Oryzias latipes: one gene and its partner. The protein of the gene in region 2 purifies or fractionates together with the protein of the main gene of each other region. This does not show direct contact. Links are inferred from orthologs where the notes say so. Each region holds a gene or a part of one and is shown on either strand. Other genes may lie near its edges. The genes, in order: gtf2a1 and tbpl1.

Region 1 (11,466 bases), about 10 Mb from region 2:
TATGAAGAAAATTGAGCTCAAAAGCAACATTTCCTTTCTTATACTTCTGGTAGCATCTCTTATTTTTAGCACATAAGTCACTCCTGATGAGCCAATCCAAAGCACAAACCGCCAAAACTGTTTTCCATGGAGGACTGAAGCACATCTGCTGCTGGATCATTTATGAAGATGATGAACTTTTTAAATCCTTTGAAAGCAGCAAAGAGTTTATTGTTTATGTGTTTCTTTTTCTTGGTTCATTTTGTTGAATCACTTATGGAATTGTGAAAAAAAATAATATTCACTAATATATTGGGATGTAGGTGACATATACTGCAGTTATTGTCTATATACCAAGAATACTAAAAGATAATAACTACAAACAAATAAGTAAATGGCAGCATTTAAAACTAAAATACAGAAACAATCATTCTATAGATTAACTAAATAAAAAATGAAATAAACCAATAACCAAGTGACCTGTGGCTGCAGATGGAGTAAAATAGTTTGCACACTGATCCCCACAAAATACTGTTTTGCTTTTTACTAATATTTTCAGGACTTCCTTAATAGAAAAAAATTAAAACACAAGTCGTCTCCAGCTGTGGTCAATAAATATGGAACAAAACAATTCAATTTTCATCGAAGAAGATCCATAAAATTCAGATTTCTGTCCAAACCATCATTTTTCTGTGACATATTACCAAAAGAATGAACTCTAACCGTGACTGCAGTCCATTGTCACAGTACATTTAGACGTTTAAGGACAGATACTGAAGTACATCAGAAAAACAAAAGCCCTCAGATCAGCAAATGTCTACATGATGTAAGCCTGGGTCTTGATGAATAAAGTGTCAAAGTCATCTATACCATGACTCCACATTTTGATTTATTACGTATTAGGTTGCCCTTTAACTGTCACTAATACTTTAGGTTTGGTTTCGATGTTCTATAATACAACTGAATTCAGTGTAAATGTGTTTAAATTAACCCTAGTGTTGCCTCATGGGTAAAATGTGACCCACTACCATGTATAGTAAGCAAAAAGATGCCTTAATCTATTTTCATGAAATGTGATTTTTCCTAAACTCCATCACTAGAAAAAGGGATGTTTTTGTTGACATGTGGGCTGCAACCACATAACCTGTCTAATGGGTCATTTTGACCCATGAATTATAAAAGGCATCTATCTAAACACCAGAAATAGTTCAAAGGCCACACACAAACGGTGAATTCATAAATCCACACACTTTCTAAAAAATACAAAAGACCAAACTGTTGTCCAAGAATTCAAGATTGTAGCCATTTTTTTCAATATCATTAATTCAGAAGTAATTATTTCATACTTATATAAATGCAAAAACAAACCTCTGGGTGTATTACAGAAAACAGTTTGGGGGCGGGTTTGCTGTTATGTTCACTGCTTGTTTTTTGTATTGTGTAACAAAATTTGATGAAAAATAAATTAAACTGCGTTGAATTATTCGGGAACAGGATGCTTCATCATGCACAGTAGAATTTAGACTTAAAGTTCAATGAAGGCGCTTTATTTTGAGGCTTTAGCAAGGTGGGTCATTTTTGACCCTTTAGACAAGGGGCATAAACAGAATGTCTAGATTACAGGAGGGGAACTCTTATATTGTGTTTGATTATAAGGGTCAATTTTGACAATATACAAGCGATGTGCCTATGGGCTTTAGGGTGTGAGGTTTACATTCAGCTAAACGTCTTTAAAATGAGCCTGTAACCCACCTCAATTGTTCCTAAATGGCATGAATCAATCTGCGACGCAGCAGCTTGGAGTTGAAAAAGAAGCTTGCACAAAGCAGGTGAAGCGGCTCCAGTGAGTTTGGTTTCCTTCTGCACGACTTCATTTTTGGAGAATTGTAAAAGTTAAGGAAAGGTGTTTGGCAGTTCACAGTTTGAGAAAAAGAGACTTGTTCAGGCCTCCACTTGGACAGGAAATACAATTTCATGCCATTTTTAAAATAAATCTGTCTCCTAGCTGCTGGACACGGCACATTTGAGCCGTGAGATCAGAGGCCGAAGTGAGGAAGAAGTACAGGTTCTCTTTGTCTCTGTGAGCTTCTCCTTTTCTGAAAGCAGGTAACTTTAGCATTCCACAGCCAGCAGTGTCAGCTTTTTCAACTTCTGAGGCCAATAATCTTTTTTTCTGCCGTGTTGCTGACCGGCTGTCGCTGCGAGTCAGCTGCTAGAATGAAAGAGCAGCAAAAGCTTAGCTAGACATCTCCAGGGTTCTGTTCCAAGCGTCACTCCGCTGCCTGAAAGCAGCAAGAGGAGCCGCCTCATCACAAAACGCCACATACACATTCCGCTTGATGGCGTGGAGTGACACGTCCACCCAGAGGGGCAGTTTGTCTCAAATCCATTTACAGTCCAGGGCCAAAATGTCACGCAAGTTTGCGATTTGGTTTAAATTCCAGACAGAACCGCACCTTTCTCTAATAATGACCAAAAAGGAAATACTCGTGGATTGAGTCAGTTTGGGTAGGAATTAGTGGACTGGCAGGGAGAACACCCAGGTGCCGGAGCGTGAAACTGAAGACAAGACGCTAAATCCAGCGAGTTCAAAGAAAACTCATCTGTTTTTGAAGGGGGAAAATATGATTTATGAATGTTAGAATTTAGTTTAAACTTTTCCTTCTTCTTTAGAAAGCTCTTTGTGATCTTGCACCTGTTTAGCTTTTGTCCGAAGCCATTCTGGAGTTTTAAGGTTTACCAACCACTCGTGTGTCCAGGTCACGACACAAACATTGAGGTTATGGTGAATTTTCCATCGCTGGTCCCAAGTTATAGACTAACATCTCATCAAAACTGCGCATAAAATTTCAAATGTCAACTAAAGAATAACCTTTTTATTGCCTGTTGTAATTTTATGCTGTTTTTTTTTTTTTATTCTCAATTCTAACATTTTCTTTTAATCTTTTTCATTGTTAAGGCACTGCAAAGTGCATTAGAAGTGGAGGTTCTTTCATTCATTCAAACCACGAAAAACCTTTCTGGACAAATCAAGCAGAAGAGCCGTTAAAGGACTCCGATCATCGTCTAAAGCGTTCCCAGTGTTTTTTTTATTAGAATTGTGCCGTTTTTTTTAGCTAAAAATCAAACAAAACTGTTGTTTTCTAGGTCCTGTACAGCAGCAGTAGTTTGTTAGAAATATGCCTCCTAAGTTGTGAAGGGGGTTGTTGCTGTGGAGCAACACCGCTCCCCTTCGATGCCGAGAGCTCTCCGTTTACAGGATTCCCTGCTAGCTCACTGCCCCGTCACAACCCCAACCTTCACCTTCACACTCCAGTCAGCAATACGTTGAAGCGCTCACTTCGAATGAAAAGTCAAACCTCTTCCAACGTGCCAGTAAGCAGTAGGAAAAGATAGCCCCTCCCTGCTTGTCCAGTGTGAACACCTTGGGCTAAAGACACTTTCAAGAATGCTGTAGCTTAACTTTACTGCCATTCAGACGAGGAAAACCAAGATGTACATGGATGCCCACAAGAATGAAGCAGAGTGCAGAGTTTGGGCCCCGCCCCATGTATTTTCTACGTCACAAATACACTTTTCTTTTTTAAACTGCATTTTTTCATCCACTTCTCCATCTGGGAATCAGAAATACTCAAATTATGAGCTTAATTTTCTCAATATACGTCTTGCATTGTCAGAAAAATGCCACAAGAACATGTTACCGTGATTTTCATCAGAATGGGTTTTTAAGAGGTAAAGGAGATCATTAAATAACTTTAAGCAATGAAAAGACAGACTGGGGGAGCATAGCAGAGTAAAAAAATGGATACCTGGAAAACAAAGCATGCATTTTAGTTAAAAAAAATAAATAACAGACAAACATCTGAACTGGCTAAAGGCAAAGAAACCAAATTAGCAGGAATTATTCAAATTCTGAGCTCCAATAAAGTACTTCCAGCCCATTAAAACTCCCTTTTTAGCTGGAAATTCAAAGCAGGAGCCTTTATTTTGTTGCAAACATTTTTTAATTTAGGAAAAATTAAATGAAATTACATTTCTTTAAATATCTCAACAGCAGTTAAAACATAAAGAATACAGTTTCCATGGACATCCTTCCATTAGTTGTGGGTAAGACACAAGAAAACCCAAACAGAACTCAAGTTTAAAAAAAGGCACAGACGACATCCAGAGAAATGGGAATATACAGAAAATGTGCAGAACCAAAGATTTCACAGGCTGATTCAGAGGTGAAAAGAAAAGCCCTATTGATCCGTGTGCATGTTGTTATTTTATAGTCATGGTGCAGATGTGGCTACTTTTTTATTTATTTTTAATTTGTGTTTTCTTTTTTAGAAATGTACAACCCAACGGACAGGACAGTCAAAAAAAACAGGCTTTATTTCAGATTGCTGGAAAGGGGGAACCGAGTCAAACTGCAGAAACAAACACACAGCCCCCCCCCCCCCCCCCCCCTCCAGTTAAACTCACCTTTGATACAAAAAAAAAAAGTTTAGCGTAAAATAAGACAGAAAAACATTTATGTAGCGCTTGTCCAGCTGAAGAAGAAAACTAAAAAGGAACACTTACTGGATAATAAGAGCACAGTTTGGTGCGGCTTTCAGATCTTTCCAAGAACGTCCCGTGAACTTTTAACAATAAATAGATGATGCGCACCCCTCCCCTTCTCTAGTGTGACTGGCATTTTGAGACTGCAAGGTGTGCAAAAGAAAGACGTATGTTGCAGCTATCGCACGCCTGCACCGTCGATCCGCGTCTCACACACAAATGAACAGAAGAGACCTCGCTGCTGCTGATGCTGCTATGGATTTCCTGGACTGACTGAGCTCACGGACGTCGATAAACCCACAGTGCAAGTCCTCCCACGGCTGCAGCTGACTAAAGGAAGAGCGGAGATACACCGGCGTGGCAGCCTCACATCTTCTATGCAATCCCAAAATGAACTTTGGGGCTTTTTGAAAAAAAAAAAAAAAGATGGAATGAAGCTCCAGCAAAACGGGGTTAAACATCTGTGGATTAAAATTGATTTTTGAAGATTGTTTTTGTACCTTGTTTTTCCCAGGAGCCTCGGATCTGACGCTAAAAGATAATTTTTTAAAAAGATTGGACTACATAAAACAATTTGGAGCACCATTTTTCATTTTTCACATGGAAACAAAACTACAACCAAAAAAAAAAGCTGAGTCATTCTAAAAGGCAGCGGTTCTGACTGGTGGCACTAAGTTTGGACTTCCATGAATCCAGTCGACCGATTACAGTGCATTAAAAATGTGTGTCTATCGGGTTATGAGAGACCGCAGAGTTCCTTCTGGTCCGCAACACCTGTACGACATGAAATGACTGTTTTGGGGGAATTTTGTCAGAAGAAGGCAGAAGCCTTAAAGGGAAAAATAAACCAAAAAAGCTCTGTTCACAGGCTCTCCAGTGTCCTGTCGGTTTCTCATCCCGTAAACGCTGGTCGAGTGTTTTTCCACGTGTCATGTCTTACAGCAATCCTTTGGGTTGGATGAGTTCTCAAAGACTCTCGCTTTACCTTCCTGAAGGAGTTCGGACGCAGGATGTGAAAGGACGCTGAAGTATCAGTTTGCTGGATAAAAACAAGTTAGGAGTTCGTGCTTCGCCCGTCTCCCCCGCCTCACCACTCGGCGTCTCCGATGGATTTGGAAAAGACATAATCTCTGCCGTTCAGGTTCATTATCCCGTCTTTCAGGTGGAACTTCCATTTGTTCTTACTTCTGTGGATCTGAGGAGCGAGGAAGAGGAGGAGGAGAAGAATGGGAGAGTTCAGAACAGAGGGATGCTGCTGGAGCTTACCCTGATGCTACACCGCCGATCACTTCCATTGAAAAAGTCTAAGTAACCCTTTTGGGCTTCCGCGGTCAAAACTGTCACATTCACGGGTCGCTACACGTTTTTAAGTCAAGGAAACAATTGAACGCACGCTGAACGTTCAACCAATTGACTCTGCTTTAGTAGGGACGTATGGATGGCGTCCTTTTCAAAACATGGAAGTGCCAACCCTTTGATTAATTGATTATGAGGGAGTAATCAATAACTGTGGCTTGTGCTCGGCTAGAATGACGTCACATCAAGTCTTTCATACATCAGACTGAAGGAAAAAGGCCTGGGGCAAAGATTTGCACTGCTTCAACATTTCAGACCAAGCCTCTTCCAACGGTGAGTGCGTGCACCGGTAGCGACAGTCCAGTGTGAACACCGATGGCTAAACGTGAACGTAGCTTGACGCTCATCTCCTACCTTGTCATACTGGCACACCACGACATTCTCCGTGTCGAACAGCTCCTGGTTTTCATCATCACTGACATCATCTCCACTGTTCAGAGGCTCCTGGTGACCAAAAAACCCAAAGACTTCAAAGATCCACTCCAATCATCTTTTGATCGATTTTCAAAGCGTTCCCAGTGGTCTTTTAAAAATTATTACGCAGCTTTTAACCCCCCCCCCCCAAAAAAAAAAAAAAAATTTGCAGGGCGGCAAAAGTTCATTAGAAATTTGCCTCCGAGTTGTGGGCGGGATCAGTGACGTGGAGCGACCTCATCCCACAGCAGAGGACTTGGAGCAGGAAGCTCGAGGTATTATCTACGTCACAAATACGATCTTTTTAAACCGCAGTTGTTGGTCGATTAAAACGATCAATTTAATAGGTTTATCTTAAGATCCATCCAGGTTTATCTCTTCGAGGCAAGTTGTTCATTGAAACGCCCTACACCATAAAAAAATGTTTCAAAATGAAATGAATACTCAATCTTAGAAAATACCATTTGGATTGAGACTTGGCAGGTTTATTTCACTACAATGTAAAAAACGACCATCACATAGACATGATGTCAGCAAAAAACGATCGGTTCCATCATTCCGGTCCAATGAGTGGAAACACTCAATTTAGCAAAGTCATGTGACCATCCAGTGTGCTAGAATGTTCCCTTTGGATTACCTGGATGTGGAAAAACATTAGTGGTCCAAACTTTAAGAAACTAAAATGTAATCTGATTTGAAATCAACTGTTGTTTACATGTTTGTACACATTTAATTTACACTCAAATATCAGTACCCAGGTGCCGTTCAGTACTCAGGTATTGTTCAGTACTCAGGTAAGTCACACTAGTGGAAGTTTTGGCTAAAGATGGATCTGTTTTAGATCAGCGAACTGGATCGTTCAAACTGAATAAATAGACTTTTAATCGTCTTGGGGATCACAAATTATGACAGGAATCATCTGTGAAATGCTCAGAAATACAATTAGAAGCTTAATTTCCGTTATAAATGCCACAACAACATGTTAAAAACACCATAAACCCTGGACTGGCTCAACACTCACCTCTTCAACTTGCCCGTCTTCCCCACCGGTTTTATCTTTCTCCTCTTCGTCATCTTCGTCGTATTCCTCCTCTTCGTCCTCGTCTTCATCAGAGGACGAGTCTCCAGTTCCATCCAGCTGCACCATCATGGCGGGCTGCTGCGCCTGCGGTTGGGCCTGAGGCTGCTGCTGCGGGGCTGCCGGCTGGGCTGGGGCCTGAGCAGCGGCCACAGCTGCCCCCTGCTGGACCTGAGCTGCTGCTGCCTGGCCGGGCTGCGGCGCCATCGCTGCTGCTTGCATCACCTGGCGGCAGCCAGAGATGAGAGCAGAGTCATTACGTAAACCTAGAGCAACATCCCACAAAAAAAATAATAATTGGGAAAACATTAATTGGTGCTCTGACCTGTGTGGTCCCTTGAACTTTATTCCCTGGAGCCAAAACGATCTGCTGCGGCTGAATGATGACTCCTGCTTGCTGGGGCAGTCCACCCTGCAGAGGAGCTAAAACCTGCACGTTTGCAAGAAAAGGACTCCAAGTTTTCAGAAATCAATTCCCAGACTGGTTTCATGCTCAAAAGGATGACCTCACACATGGACTGTACCTGCTGTATAATGGGGGCCTGCACGCCGCCAGGCTGCATCTGATTCTGCAGGACGATCTGCTGCTGAGGCTGGATGATGTACTGAGTCCCGTTGGGAGCCCGGACCACCTGCAGGAGCTGACCTGCATCAACAGGAAAACAAAAAAACGTTTTGAGATCCAACCACGCTAAAGTCCAAAGGAACGGTGAGAGCTTTACCTTGGCTTGTGATGAGCTGTTGGTAGGGGGTGACCCCTGTGGGCAAAGCAAGGGTTGCTGCAGTGGCTGCTGCGGTCTGCAGGAGGAAACACAGAAAGCCGCTCCAATTATACCAGAGCACAAAAAGGTGGATTTTCTAGGTGATAAAAAAAGAAAAAATCTTCTTTTTTCTTTTCATTTAAGCCTTAAAGGTTTCAAACATGGTCCATCACTTAAGGAAAAGCTATAGCGGCGGCTAGGTTTCAAGCTCAAAAAGACAGATGGCCTCCCCACAAGAAAGCTTTTCCCTTTCTCGGTTTTGTTCTCCAGGTCCTTGTTGAGAAAAAAAGTCCTCTCCCAAAACCCACAGCCCGGCTAGTTTTCCTAACCGTCGCTTCCTTGATACTATCCCAGATATTCCCCGGGTGGATTTGTGCGATGACAAAACGGGACGTTTGGGAGAATTTTTGGTTCTCAAGTGTGGCGGTGCAGTTTTCAGCTTGTAAGATGCTACTCACCATTCCCGTTGAATTCATGTGCTGTATCATTTTAGAGTCCTGAACTATGACCTGCTGCTGGGGAGCTGTTGAGAATAAAACACATTATTTCAGGTTGAAAAAAAAAAAAAACAACACACGTCCAGGCGACGTTTGTATGTCAACGTGCGGACTCGCCTTGTTGCTGCGAGGGAATCTGGATAACCTGCTGGGCCGGCGCGGCCTGGGCCACCTGCTGGGCCTGTTGGGAGTGCGGGTGCTGCTGCTGAGCGGTCTGCAGGGCCGCCTGCTCCTCGGTGTGGAAGCCCTCCACCGCCTTTGACTGCAGCAGCTTGTTCTCCCACAGCTGAAAGACAAGACTCCAGATGAATCTGACCAAACACGGAGCTGCATGTGTGTGTGTGTGTGTGAGGGGGGGGGGTTATAACCTTCTCTCAGTAAAATGAGACGGATTACCGTTTTCAGCTCCAGAAGAACTTGCTCGTCCACCCCTTCATCCAGGAACAGCTCCCGCACCTCATTGATCACATCCTCAATAACAGACTTGTATAATTTAGGCTATGATGACAAAACAGAGCAAATACACAATTTATTGGTGGTGGTTTCAACATATATAAATGTTTACAATAAATGTAGGAAAACACTCATAAAAGAGGTGTTAAGTTTAAACGGTCACATCTTGTGTATATGGATAGATTATCCAAACCCATATATAATAATCTGCACTGATCCATTTGTCAGCAGGACTAAACGCGTCCCTCGAGACAGAGCTGCACGCGCGGGGAACTGTCACGGACAACATTCTGGCTTCTACGCAGAACGAGAAGCGGGACACCGAATGTCCGTCTCTCTGCTCTCCTCCCCGTCAGCTCCGGCACTATTTAAAGCGCAGTCTGCTGTTTATGTGAAGAACCGGTGACGTAGCGTCGTGTAGCACCGTCCCATCCCGGGCAGTCTATATTAGACGGCCAATATGGCGGTATAAAACCAGGCAGCAGAAAGGAGGAGGGCCAGAACCGAGAGAGGAGACGAGGAAGCCATTTTACAGAGCGGCAAGCGCGCGCGCGCCTCTTTTCCCTCCTCGACTAGCAAGATATGGCGGACTGAAGATGACGGTTTCGGTGGTTTATCTCATGAAAGGATCCGTTTTGACTAAACATTTTTGACTGGAGCGGGACATTTGTTGCGTTGAGGGTGATTTGGGACGGCTCTCCTGCCCTCTGGTCGTGGAATGGAGGACAATGAAGAAGAAGCAGTTGACAGAGCGTTCAAGACGCCAAGCTTTTAATAAAATTTTTTTAGCTAAATTCAGTCGCAGTGGATGGTGCATATGTGCTTTGCGTACATCAGTTTCCCTCCCCTCCAACAGTTATGCGACAATAAGTATGACATTTTCCCCCGTGTAAACAAAAATGAGCACCCCTAACTTAACTAGTTAGCTAACGCATTCAATGCGGATTTCAACTCAATTTAGCTTTAAAAAAATGTCCAGAAGGTTTTCGGAAGCACTTACGTTAACAACTAATACCGTATAAACAGGCAACTTTTAACTTTAAAATTTATTTTTGATCACATTTAATTTAAATATTTAAAGAGATTCGGGTCCTACAAAAGTAATCAGTTCTATAAGCTCTTTTTTCATTGAGTTTCGAAAACTGGTATAAAAAAAATGACCGTGAGTATTCCTTTGAATGGACATAACGGTGTTGGTAAAACTCATTTTTACTGTAATGAATAAAAAAAATAAATTAAAAAAAAAAACAGATCGTTGACACGTTTTTCCATCAACTTTACCCCCATTTTCCCCCGTTGACAGTCCTGAGAGATTGATCCTTACCACTGGGTTCGAGTTTGCCGAGCTCGCCATTATACGCGTAGTGTAAAAACCACACGGAAATAGGCGAGAAACAGTGCCAAAAATTAAGAAAAAAGACTTAAAACAACTGGGAAAGGTACTTTAAAACAGCCGGCATTACTTTTGTAAATAAAACACAGTTTTAACGGTCTTATTTACAATCCCGGGCTGCGACTCCCCAGCCGTCCTCCTTTCGTCGTTGTCCTGCTTTATATACTGAGCGATGGAGCTGCGAGTGCGCGAGACATAGGGCAGGGTCAAAAGGCACATAGCGCGAGATTTGCCACAAAAAACGATGACTAATCACTGACGTCGTGCTGGGAAATGTAGTTTAAATTGTAAATTTCACAATGCGATTGGATACTTAGCTTTTTAGATTTGTTGGACAAATTATCCAATTGTTAACCATGATTACAATTACATTGTTTTTGTTTGTGAGTTTGTATTGTGTTGAGAATGTTTACAAATAGAGGGTTACAAGTTTTAATTGATTTAACTTTTTCAGCTAAATCGAGATTTTTCCTGTATAGTAAATTCTGTGTTGTATTCATTACTTTTATTTTATAACGAAAAGGTTCAAATCTGAATCCAAAAGCCCGATTTATTTCTATGTTCCTTGTAGTATCGTTCTACAGCCACAAGAGGGCGATAAGACAACATCACATGAAAATAACCTGTGTTTCACTGGAGCTTTGAGACGGGCATATTTTTCACATGCAGCGTGCTATATGTGATCTTTAATTAAGAAGATCTGTGCACATTTGAAGAAGTATTTAAGATCATATTCACTTGATCCAAAAATACACAACCAAAGGGAAAATCCTTAAAAAAAAGCTTTGCAATAATTTCGTGTAGACATTGTTAACTCCACTTCAGTCTCCATGGAAACTTGCTTCCCTGGCCACTCTGTGGATATAGATGATATAGACTAGGGAAGACTGTTTGCATCAATCCACAAACAATTCAGTGTTTTCTGAAAACTGTGTTTACTGAAATTATCTAAAGAAGATGTAAAAAAAAGAGAGAGAGGGTGATCTGACC
Region 2 (12,447 bases):
GAGCACATCCACGCAGATTCCAGCAAACGCTTAGAAGGGCCAACCGAGAAAACCACATCAGGGCACATGTGCTGCTTCTCATCATACGCCTCCCAAATGCCTTCGCGTGGACCAGACTGGAGAGGCTGAATCTGTTTAACGCAAACAAATGGGAACACCACCTCTCAAAGAAAAGAAAAAGCATTTTTCATATTTTTGGCATGTTAAAAGAAACTTAACTTAGCACATTCAATTTATCTTCTTTAAAAAAAAAACAGATTTTAGCTTTGTAAACATGAAATTGTTGAAGATGTTTTGTTTAAAAGTACAACTTTCTGGAAAGAGCCCAAACAGATCAAACCAGTTGAGTCACTTAGGCAACTTTTTTGTTGTTATTTTAGGGCAACATGAGTTTTCTGGAAAGCTACTGAATGTAGAGAAACATCAACACAGACAGAGTCACTGGTGGGATATTTAGGAGAATCTACAGACAGCTACCTTTTTTATTTTGTTTTTAATAAGATTTTAAAGCCAAAATTATATCTAGAGAATAAATAGGTGTAATATCTAAATGTTCTGCTCAGTTTTGCACATTTTTTTCTTTGTACTTAAGTGTCTATTCATTTCTATCAAGTCCAACATGCAGCATTGAAGTAAATGTTGAACATTTCCTTTTTATTTTCTCTGACACTATTCTGAAACAAACACTCCCATCTGTATGTGTGCACAAAATGAACATCAACCCTTTAGTGGAATTTTCCTCTTTTTATTTTTATAGAAAAATTCAAGTGTTACAAAGTTTACTTGAGACCATTTGAGAAAAAAAAAAGATCCATCACACAAACAGACAACATATCAAAGTACATTTTATACAGTTCTGTCAGCAGAATGATAAAAACACTGCTTTTCCTTAGACCAGTTGGGAACTTTGAGGGGTTTTCTATTATATTGTAATGCAATATATTTGAAGTTTCTGTGAAAGTCTATTTCTCTTTTTTTTTTTTGTACATGAAATACTTTTGGAAATCTGCCTGGTGTGACTCCAAGGAGTGGCTGCTTATGTAATAAAAACGGTTCAGCTCTTTGCTACTGCTTTCTGCAAAAAAACATGTAAATTCTGCACATTTTACTGATCTCATAAATGTAAAAAAAATGGAATTAAAAGATCAAACTGACTTAAAACTGACAAGTATTTCTGTTAAATGACACTTAAAAAAAAAAGAATTTAAATTTAAAACCACAAAGACGTCAATGGTGTTTGCACAGAGGGATGCGGTGAGGATATCTTGACTGAAGTGAGGGGTAAGTTCTGGTGGGCTCTACCTCCAGAACTTGGCTTTCTGGGCATCTCGGCGGCGTAGAGTGACTGCGCTGGTCGGTCCTCTAAAAAACTAACGGTGGACGGAGATTCCAGCAGGACTGGCCTCGGATATCGAGTTAGCAGAGAGGCTGCTCTGAGCAAACAAACTTTCACCATTGGTCACAACTGTTCAGCTTGAATATACTTGCAGTACTAAAAACGGTTCAGGTATCCATGCAGAACACTCAAAGCAGGATAAAAGTGACAGCAGACAACTTTCTCATGAACTCCAACAAGGATTATAAAACTCTCAACACACACGTCCGTCTTGACAGTCTAGTTAGTCTTGCAGAGATTACCGTAAAGAAAAGGAGCGAGGAGTTTCCTTATCAGTATTGAGTCTTCTTTTATCATGTAGGCGACTTCTTTTTGTCCTATTTGCAGAGGGGTTTCCGACACTCAAACAGCAGTGGGTAGACCTGCTCCACAGCTGTTGCAACATTCTGCACATTTGGTCCTGCATTGTCAAGACAGAGTATGAATGTGGTGACAGAAACATTCAAAATGCAAACTTTCACTGGTGAAATTTATCAGGAACTGGAATCTTTTTCTTTTTTTTTAATGAGGGCATGACCTCAATCCAGCAAACTAGTTTTCTGACAGCACTTCTATGATCCTTTTAAACAAATATCATATTAAAAATCTCAACAACAGACTGACACACATTTAAAGTCCCCACTCTGATCATCTTGGTCTTTTAATTATGATCATGCAGGTTTTTAGGACACACAGTAGTTTCTGCAGAGCGGCAGTAGTTCAATAGAAATTCACTTCTGAGTTGTGGCGGGGGCCTGTCATCACATCCCCTGTTTCTGAGAGCTCTCTGTTTACATGCTCTCCTGCTAGCTTACATCCCCTCATGACCCCACCCTAACATTAGCAATGCAAATGGTGCTGAATATCAGGGCCGTCCAGTTTTCAGACAGATGCCAGTTTAGACGAAGAAAACAAAGACGTCCGTGGATCTAATTGTCCTAAATGGAGCCGAGAGTTTGTGCCCCGTATATTTTATTATCTTCTTCAAATGGCATTTTTTCATCTGCTCCTGATTCACAATGATTTGAATAAAGAAATACTCAGAAATACAAATTTATGCTCGTTTTTTTTTTTTGTCATTTGAACAAGTTTTTATCGAAGTGGGGCTTTAAATGAGAGCAAACACTCGGCTTCCCTAATGTGTCATTCATTTGGTTTATTTCTAAATTATAAAATTATTCGTTTCCAGTTTTTTTTTTTTAAATCTGGTTGAACCACATTAAAGAAATTGTTTTAGTTTGACCTAACAAGTCTCAGGTTCTTAAGACAGATTCCTGACATACGTTTTACTCAAAGTGACTCAAAAGTTTTAACAGGTTAATACATAACACACTCTCACCAACAAACCACCCCCCCCTCCAATGGAAACATTAAGGCCACTTTTTTTTTAGGAGTTTCCAGACTTTATGGAGTTTGACTTTATTTTTTTTTTGCTTCCTGATGCCCTCTTTAGACTCCTGTTGCGGTCACGGGTAAACTAACTTACCTGTAATCGTGAGGCTTCCAGTGGAAAACACCTGTACAGTAGCCTTTATATTCTTGATTCTGTATGTAGCAGCAGGGTGAAGCTCAGGCTCATAACTGGCAAAAAATAAAAAGTTCAGCAAACCAAAGGTTTAGTATGACTTGATACAGACAGGTCAGTGCAGCTCTTTTTTCTAAATAAGAAGACTGTTTATAAAAATTACAGGGTGACAACGTAAAAAACAACTTAGGGCCTGATTTCACAACAGCAACACCAGGCAGAATCAATGCATGTTTCAACCACTAGAGGTCACCATATTCTTGCAAACAGCAAGAAAATCAACTTTTCCTTCACTGAAACTGAACAAAATTTAAACTAATAAAAACTAACAACTAATCTATGAAACCTAAAACAAAAGACTTGTTTCTAAAAAAAAAAAAAAATGGGCTCAATGAGTAGAACTTAAAACAAAAAAACTGCAAAAAACTTTAACAAGACTTATTTTAATCTCCCTATCATTGCCTTATTCTAAAAAAAATAATTAAATATTTTATTTCCACAGCTTTAAAAAATCTCAAATGTTGAATTTTACAAAATAATAAATAATGATAATAAGGCCTCTTTCACACAAAAAGGGCATATTACTGATTATAATATTGATTGATTACTTGGATTTATTTGTGCTATGTTGTAGGTTGTTCTTTAATGTATTATTTTTTTTTACATAAAACTAATCTTTTTCCCTTCCCATACAGAAAGCTACATTAAATGGTAAAAACAGGAACTAAAAAATGTAGAAAAGATATAGTGTGAAAGTTTTAGGACAAAAACAATTTTCTACTTATTTGAGCTGCACTTTACTGACAAATCTATGTATCCAATTAATAACATTAACAACAATCATGCTTTTAACAATTCAATTTTAATATCAGTTTTAAAAAGGACTGTCACCATCACTAGATATGATTCACCGATCAATCAAAATGTTTCATCTACAGATGAGTTTAACACTTTGATGTTAAATAAATGGGAACAATGTAAAATGTTTTGAATCCAACTATTGCTCTGCAACTGCTTTGCCTAAAAATCTCCAAGAAATAATTCAAAACTGAAAATATATTTGTTTTTATACAAATATAATAACTCATGTTACCTGGCTATGGGCCGGTTGTTCTTTGTGAAGTCTACCAAGTGAATTGAAAATGGCATGGAGCAAACGGCGAGCACATTCACAACCTTGAAAGCTGAAAACCTCACCTGTGAAAGGGATAAAAAATGCAGTTCCAATTCAGTTACAAGACTTTTTTTAAGGTCAAATGTTTTACCCTTGATTTGGTTTATGCCAATTTCAGCACATGTGAGTTTTGGTGGCAGACCTGAGGGTTAGTGTCCTGCAGCGTGTTTGTCCAGGATGAGTACACATTGTACATAACCTCAATCTACACCTGATCCGTACTTATCTTTCAGCCCACATTCTTTTTACAGTGTGTTGCTAGAGGTTCTCCTAGAGAACAGGAGCTTCTATATAGATGTAGAGCTCAGACGCTCATGGACTGTCGCCCACAGCCTGCAGCAAAGCAACATCTTCAGCTTTATCTGTGTGTTCAAGTGCTGGATATTTTCACAGTAGTGGGTTGTGCCATGCAGTCTATCACTGTCTTTTTTTTATACTGGTTGTTTCCTAGCAATCAGTGGCATACATTGTGTAAATGACATTAAAACACATTGGTAACACACAGTTTCATCACGGATTCAAATCCTCCAAAGGTCCCCTTAAACCAGCTCATGTGAAGTTCTCCAGAGACCATCTGGACGATCCAGAGGAGAACTGAGAGAATGTCAAACGATAAGATTAGACTAATATGGAACTCCTTGTAATAAACACCACTCGGCTTGTTTGGAAGAGGAAGAATGCTGAGTTTCATTCCAAAAACACCATGCCCACTGTAAAGCATGGGGGTGGTGTCATCATTCTATGGGACTTATTTTCTGCAAAAAGGGAGTGGACAGCTGATCTGTATTAAGGAGAGGATGAACGGGATCTTTGAGCAAAAACTTATTTCCTAAAGTGACATGATCAATGATCTTAAATCGTTCACCACGGCAACACAGGAGTGGTTAGGTAAAAAGCATTTCAAGGTTCTGGAGTGACCTAGTACGTCTCCGGACCTCAGTCCTATAGAGAATTTGTGTGTTGCCCAGCAACAGCCCCAAAACATCCCAGCTCTGGAGAAGATCTGCATGGAAGAATGGACCAAAATAACAGCTAAAACAAACATGATGAAAACTTACAAAAAGCCTTCAAACTTCTGTCACTGACAGCCAGGATTACATTGCAATGTATTGAGGTAAACTTCTGCTATTGTCTAAATACTTATCCTCCCCATCATTTTACAGCTACGGTAACTTCTTTAAAAATGAAACATTGTGATTTTATGGATTCTTTTTTTTTTGCATTATGTCTCTAAAATCTGATGGGTTTTTGTGATGAAAATAACAGATCTCTTTTTTTAGGGGAATAATCAGGAAATACTAAACATTTTTAGTACGTATATTCTTACCTTGAAGCCAAGTTTCTGCAGACAGCGCGCTAGTCTGCGAGCGCCCAGCTTTGCCTCGTCCTCACTGAACAAGAGACAAAAGGAAACTTTTAAATTATTATGTAATATCTAAATGAAAAATGACTGAGAACAAAGAGGGAAATCTAACAGACGTCTCAACTCTGTGAATAAAATATACAAGCAGTGGCACAAAAGCAATCAAATTCCATCCAATGTCATCTGATTATAATATAACTGACACTGACAGATACATACTATACAAAAATATATAGTAAAACAGAATCCTAAAGATGAATACAAAAGATTTTAAAATGTGATTCTACATTTAGGTTTGAACCACAGATTTGATTTTAATGAAAGACATTTCTATTTTGGTGGTTAGTTTTTACATCATGTTTATTCTTTACAACAATTTCTTAAACTATTTTTATTCCTCTAATTTAGACTTTGTCTGTCCGCTGACTCATAAAACAAATGTATGATAGTTTTATTAATGAAGTTGTTTAACGTCTCATAACGTTCTCAGATTTTTCTGTCAGACAAAGTGAATGTTTGGACACAAAAAGATCAAATCAGCCAATCAGTTTGAAAAATCAGTTTTGAATTTCACCTAAACTTTCCAAATAATTGAAGCGGTTTGGGTTACTGTTGATATTCATACCTATAACCTGCTAATAACTAGTTTTGTATCTTATTTTGATCCAAAATTGTTTTAGCTTCAGAATATCAACTTTTTTGATGAATTCTGCCAAGTTAGTTACAGTTCTGAGCCACACAAAATCAACCTATATTAAAATTCAAAAATCTCTTTAGTTGAGTCAAAGTGTAAAAACTTTGCCAAATTAAATTGTACACGCATACATTTTTTAAAAAATAAACAGCATCTGAGATAGCTGTCGGCATGGTAACAAGAAACTGCAAACAAATGAATCATATTTACACTATTTAATTTAAGGCAACATGCAAAGTGTGCTAAGTTAACTAGGATTCCCATTTTTATTTGACACTGTTTACCTTGTTGCTCCAGTGCAGATGATCTTTCCTGATGACCAGATTGAGGCTGTTATCCTTGGTTTCCGAAGTTTCATCAAGACTTTCTAAATAAAGAGATAACTTTAAAAAACAAAAACAAAAAACGCAACTTTGTCAGCATTATATGATGCTCTCTTTTCCACACTCACCCCTACTTCCGGCTTGTAGATGACATTGATTCCCTCTAGAGCGATTGTACGCAGATTAAGGTGACATCTGGTCCGAAACGTCGCAACAACATTAGTGATAATGATGTCGACTGCCTCATCGTTGCTGGAATCCATGAGGAAGTGTGCGGCGCAGCAGGAAGAACACCAGGCCTTTTCTCTCACACATGCATCAGAGTGGCCTTCCCCATAACTCCCTTGATTGACTTAGGAGACAAAAGTCTAAAGAAAACAGTTAAAAAGTTAGCGTTTAAAACCCCATTTCAAAATATTTTCCAGAGTGTAAGAACATTAGTAAAAAGACAAACGTTAACTTAGTGTTTCACTATACTTGAATACATTTTTCAAAAGGGTTTAAACAATGATGTGCTGTCGCCCTTGTTTCAGCACAAACACCAACTACAAACAATAATCCAGACTCTATATATACACATATTCTGGATGCATATTCATATTTCTAGTACCAGTACTCATAAGTAGTTTTTGGAGAGGAAATCAGTTATGACAATGAAGTGTTCACCTAAGCAAGTGAAGTCGCAATTTGTTAATTATATTGGCACTTAAGTATGATCTAATTACATGAGAAAGGACACAATTTTTCCTGCATTGTCATGACTAAACCTATTCGACTTTGTTTAGTTTCGAGAAATAAACAAAAGATGACAAGTTACTTATGCTAGCTTTTGCCGGCTAGCAAAAACTGCCTGTCTCTTATAACAAACGCACATTTGACAAACATACAACAATTGATTTGCTGTCGCAGTTAGGTGATCATAAATAAGTCTGTCAAAGTAAAAATAGTTTCCGACTGGTTTGTCATTTAGAAATGCTAACCATTAGCACATAACAAAGAGGGGAGACGAGGCTTCTGAATGAAAAGTTGTTAGCTACGGATGCTAACAAGCTAACTGTCGAAAATGGGTGCAAGTTCCATAATTTTTAGGTCGTTTTGCTGACCAATGGCAAAGTATGCGTTTTATAGAAAAATAAAGCACACAACCTCGAATTATGTTGATTTTTTTCTAGTTACCTCTGAGTAGCTACACTCATAAATATTTCCTTCAACAGCAGATGTTTGTTGACAACCCCTTCTGAGTTTGTTGCCTTGCATGAAATACAATTTCCGGTTTATCCTTTCAAAATAATGGTTTCGTCAGGTCAACTTCCGTCTTTAATAAGTTACAAAACCATTTAAAAAAAAGGTTAAAAAAATAGCAAAAAACAAGGAAAGTGATTTACGTTATACTTACGAAAAATAAAAAAGAACAAAAAAGCAAAATAGTGTCTTAAAAAAACTAATTTATGAATTGTGAGAGGGACATAACTTTGACCCTAAACCTATTTTTTTGTTGCTGTTCTATTAGAGTTTAAAAATAAAAACGTAAAACGTTTAGAATCAACAGATACATAATTTTAATTTAAAAAAACATTTTCTATGTACAAATACAGTTATTACATACTGTGCATATTTGGTGAGGATTGTATTAATTGGATCCTGTAAGACTGAAGAGACAATCCAGTTCCCATGAACTTTTGAAAAGTAATTAGTTTGTGAAACAATTTCCGTCCAAGAGTTCAATTAAATCAAAAAACAAACTTTTTTTACACGTTTTATGTGTACTACCAATATGCAAAATCAAATAAACTTGATTTATTTGAACTTGTAAGTAGGACAAAGGAACATTAAGCTCTGAGGAATTTGTTATCAGTCCCATCCGCCAACATGAATATAAAAGAGAAATATGTTAAAAAATTTACAGCTAGCACTTTGTCTATTTGTCTATTACTCATAAAAGTGAACCATTGCAATCATTGCATTCTCTAAAGTAAATGATCTTGTTTGGTGGATGACTGCTTTACACATAAAACTTTTGACCAGCTTTAAACTCAAAAGAAAAGGAGTACGATTTGGGAGCCATAGGGAGAATTTGTGTTATCAATAAGAGAATTCACAGCCGCCCTGTGGCAACTTAGTCAATGAAAACTGTCCAGAAATCCCTGGAATGCTGACATTCAGCAGAAATCATGATCTTTAGGGACCCTGATAGAGACTTACCAAACAGCTGTTCTCCGATTGAGATGTTTCACTTTACGCATGAACATTTAAACTGATAAGACAAGTATTTACATGAGATAAAGTTGCCTGAACCAAGCACAGTTATGAAGATCTCGCTTGCATGCGCCTTCTTTTCTTTATTTGTTTATACATGTGGAGATTTGTGACTTATTGCATTCTTATGAACATTTGTGCATTGTGTGGTGAAACCCTCTCTACATCTTCAGACAACTAAAACACTTTACTTGACTGGCCTCCTCCCAAGCAAAACAGAAAAATAGCTTCTTTATGATTCAGCCTTGTTGTTATTGTTCTCCCTCCTAGGTTACCAAATTGTCTCTTTCCTTCTCTCATTAAATCTTCTTTGGCTTCTCATGATGAAATACAGCCTAAAGTTGTCTCCATTCTGTAAAAGAGCCCCGTTCAGTTGTCCTAACATGTTTACTATAAAGGTTTAGATTTAAAGCAGGTTAGAAGAGTCAGCCCATTAACAATAATGGTGAGCGTGCATTTGTGTGTATTGTGAGAGGGCTGACGCAGGGCGCAGGAATATGTTTACAGTTTGTTCGGCTGCATATCATTGGGGCAGCTTCTTCCCAGGGGAACAATGATCCTCTCTCATTAGGTCCTAAGAAACTGCATGTAAACCCACAGATGCAAGCACTTATGACTTAAGAGATGCAAATACACGGATGGGTAAATAGACGGTTCATCACTTTGTGTGAGCGTGTCAAAGAAAGATGATGAGAAAGTGAGGCATTCCTTTTTGGCTATGGGAAAAAAACACACTTGAGCCCACCACTGCATTTTAAGGAAAAGAGGTAAATTTTCCATCAGGTTTTGAGATTTTATAGATAAGTATCAGAGATAGAGAGGGGCAAAATGAAACCTGAAAGATTAATTTAAAAAATACCTCAAAGAACACTGTTAGTTAGCGTCCTTAAAAAAACATCTGGAAAAAAAACAACTGGGAAAGACTAAAAAAAGCAGCATCAAGGGAGTAATGGATGTGCACAAGAAAAAAAAATTCCATATACCAAAACTTCAAATAAACAAATAAAACTCAAAGCACTTACTCATGAATTTAGTTCAAAGCACTTAGTTTTAAGCTAAGCTTGTTGGATAGATGATTTAACATTTGATTATAAAATATTTAGTCATCTCAGGTCCAAAACTGCAAAAAAATGTCTTACTTTTCCATTTAAAGGCTTTTGCTTGTCTTTTCATCATAGTTTTTGCTAAGGTCAATTTTGACTAAAAGTCTTAGCATCTTGAAAAACTCTACAAGGTTCAGCTTTGCTGCTCAGCCCTTCTTCAAGAGAACTTAAGAACTTCAGGTAAACACAAAATCAAACAAATCGCGTAGCAGTTTTCTAAATGTACAGATTCAAACATTCAACCTGTGCAGTCCGACATTTAACTGGCAGTTTGATCTTTTTCTTTTTTATTTACGTTCTGGGAATTGCAAATCCTGACCTTAGAATGAACTTTCTGTCCGCTCCTGAAAAGGCTGGCAACCGTGTCTAATACTTTCCAGTTTGAAATCTATTTTGCTAATGAAAAAAGAGGGGTGCTACTTATGAAACATGATGCCTGCATTGGTGTTTTGCACAGATACAGTCCAGACCAATGTTTATCTTTGGCTTTTAAGCTATGAAGGTTTTATGCCCGGTAATACTCGAGTCACTCTTTCTTCTCTAGAATCCTAGCAGTAAGATTACTGTAAATTTATCACTATGTTAAATAAAAATGAGCAAAGTCACATAATTTTTTTTCCAATCTCCCAAAGGAATTGAATGTTTTTCTTTTTGTTCAAGCAGTCCCTGTAACTTTCCTGAGAAATATAAATACATTTTTTAAACTGAGTCTTCTCTGCATAGATGATCCGTCAAGCCAGTAAACTGGGTGTTTGTTAGGACCCCTGTGTTTTGTTTATGTCCAATGCACTTCAAAGACTCATTTTAAAAGAGCTACGAGAGAAAAGCTTTGGAGCGACTTACCGGCAGAGCTTTAAAATAAACCTTTAGCCCAGTGTCAAATGGTTATCAGGTATTTGACTCTTTGGAAGACCTAAAGAAGGTGAAAAATATACAGACTGAATATATAACATGGTTGGAAATTTTCTACTAAAAAAAAAAAATATAGGAATTGTGTTTTCATTGCGATAAAATGTCAGAGAAATATGTTTGGAATATGTCTTGAATTTTTTTTTGGGGGGGAATTTTACTTGAAAACAAAGAGTGTATCTTGGTCCCTATATTTATGTGTGAGGCTGAGATTAATGGTGTGTGAGCTTGCAGCGTAAAGGGAATCCAGTGCTCGTGTAATGCTGCTCAGAGGTCTTCCAGTGTAAACAGATATGTGGGAATGACCAAGCCTGTTTATACGATCTCCATTCTTACTGGGGACCAGTCCACCAGGCATCAAGGCAAAGACAACCCACGGGTCTCTCATGTGTAAATATCCACTCAGCTCTGCAGACGACGTGGAGGGGACTGTTCTGAAAATCCACGGATTCTGCAAGGGGAATCTGACGGGTCTGAAAATGATCTTCTGGCCTGGACTTTTGGGGTCATAATCTGCAAATCCTGGATTCCACAATAATACACAAAAATGCTCACGATAAGATGAACACATCCTGAAGTCCTGATGTCATGTAAATGTTAATAAACAATATTTTACTCTGAAATCAGGTCATCCCCGGATAACCAGGACAAGTAGGGGCAAAAGGAATTACACATCAGTGATGAAGAGAAGAAAAGACATTTTTTCCAGCTGCCTGGCTTTGAACTCTGAGATGTTATCACCCCATGGACCCCGTGTCAGATTTACTGGTCAAATATAAAAACACCACAGAGTCCATGTTTAGGCTGGTTTGGTAAGGGTGGCACGACCGTGAGCTTTATCTGATGCAGCCATGTTCCACAGAGAAAGCACCTGCTATTATGAGAACAGAAGGGAAACACTCCTGCAGCTGTGTCAGGAGGAAATCCAAGAATCCCCATGAACTTCTTGAGGAATTAGGATCGGGTCCAGTATTTTTCCTCAATTTTAATGATATATTACATAATTAATATTCAGTAAAAATTATTTTCCATTACAAAAAGAAAGCTCTGTTTAAAGCTGGTATACAGGAAATTCACACCATTAATTTGCAAACATCCAATAGAGGGCAGCACGAAATGTTTTTTTAAAATCAATCACATAAGGATAAAATACCTCCATTCCATAACCACTGTTGGACAAATTAAACTATTCATTTGTTTAAGTATAAAACACAAACAAAAAAACTACAATGAAAACAAAGTTTACATGAACCAAAGTCAGAATCCAATGTCAAGTTCCTCCCAAATGACATCTTTACTCGGTGGCCCAATTCCCATTTTATTGTTCCCAACAAAAAACAAAGAATGAGGAAAAATATCTGAGTTTTCTTCAAAATAGAAAAAAAAATCTTCATTTTGACATAAAACATTTAGCCTCCGTCATTTTTATGGGGAATTGGAAAAAAAAAAAAAACACACCCTTTATATGTGCTGTAATCTTGTGACTTTAGGAATGGCCATTTAAGCACTTTCTGTAACATGTGTGGATTGGCAGCTGCATTGCCTCATCATGGACTTACAGCCTGTTGTGGGGACTAAATGAGAGGATCTGAGCCACTTTCCCATTCATTTTGTTATTGTTGATTTTACAGATGAAGCATACTAAATGGATAGATTGCAAAGTCCTTTGTAGCTCTTTGGCTTTTGGTGACAGAACAGTATTTCTTCCTGAGAACTGGGACCTGT

Evidence for each region.
Region 1: the proteins of tbpl1 (region 2) and gtf2a1 purify together in Homo sapiens (affinity purification with mass spectrometry; 5 studies listed by BioGRID and IntAct, counting the BioPlex papers as one, with this or other methods). This does not show direct contact. The link is inferred for Oryzias latipes from reciprocal best matches to the Homo sapiens genes TBPL1 and GTF2A1.

What each region holds. Positions count from the first base shown.
Region 1 is NC_019882.2:4,163,187-4,174,652, forward strand, and holds gtf2a1 (transcription initiation factor IIA subunit 1), read right to left. Parts: upstream 10,647-11,466; 5' UTR 10,438-10,646; coding exon 10,408-10,437; exon of another isoform or gene 10,371-10,407; coding exon of another isoform or gene 10,365-10,370; intron 9,129-10,364; coding exon 9,027-9,128; intron 8,917-9,026; coding exon 8,748-8,916; intron 8,657-8,747; coding exon 8,592-8,656; intron 8,171-8,591; coding exon 8,095-8,170; intron 8,019-8,094; coding exon 7,897-8,018; intron 7,803-7,896; coding exon 7,698-7,802; intron 7,598-7,697; coding exon 7,316-7,597; intron 6,325-7,315; coding exon 6,235-6,324; intron 5,720-6,234; coding exon 5,612-5,719; 3' UTR 5,026-5,611; downstream 1-5,025. UniProt on the Homo sapiens protein: TFIIA is a component of the transcription machinery of RNA polymerase II and plays an important role in transcriptional activation. TFIIA in a complex with TBP mediates transcriptional activity.
Region 2 is NC_019882.2:14,172,742-14,185,188, reverse strand, and holds tbpl1 (TATA box-binding protein-like protein 1), read right to left. Parts: upstream 7,728-12,447; 5' UTR 7,631-7,727; intron 6,823-7,630; 5' UTR 6,718-6,822; coding exon 6,583-6,717; intron 6,499-6,582; coding exon 6,416-6,498; intron 5,466-6,415; coding exon 5,402-5,465; intron 4,098-5,401; coding exon 3,994-4,097; intron 2,957-3,993; coding exon 2,862-2,956; intron 1,797-2,861; coding exon 1,714-1,796; 3' UTR 956-1,713; downstream 1-955. Other genes in the region: slc2a12 (solute carrier family 2, facilitated glucose transporter member 12), read left to right, coding at 1-34. UniProt on the Homo sapiens protein: Part of a specialized transcription system that mediates the transcription of most ribosomal proteins through the 5'-TCT-3' motif which is a core promoter element at these genes. Seems to also mediate the transcription of NF1. Does not bind the TATA box.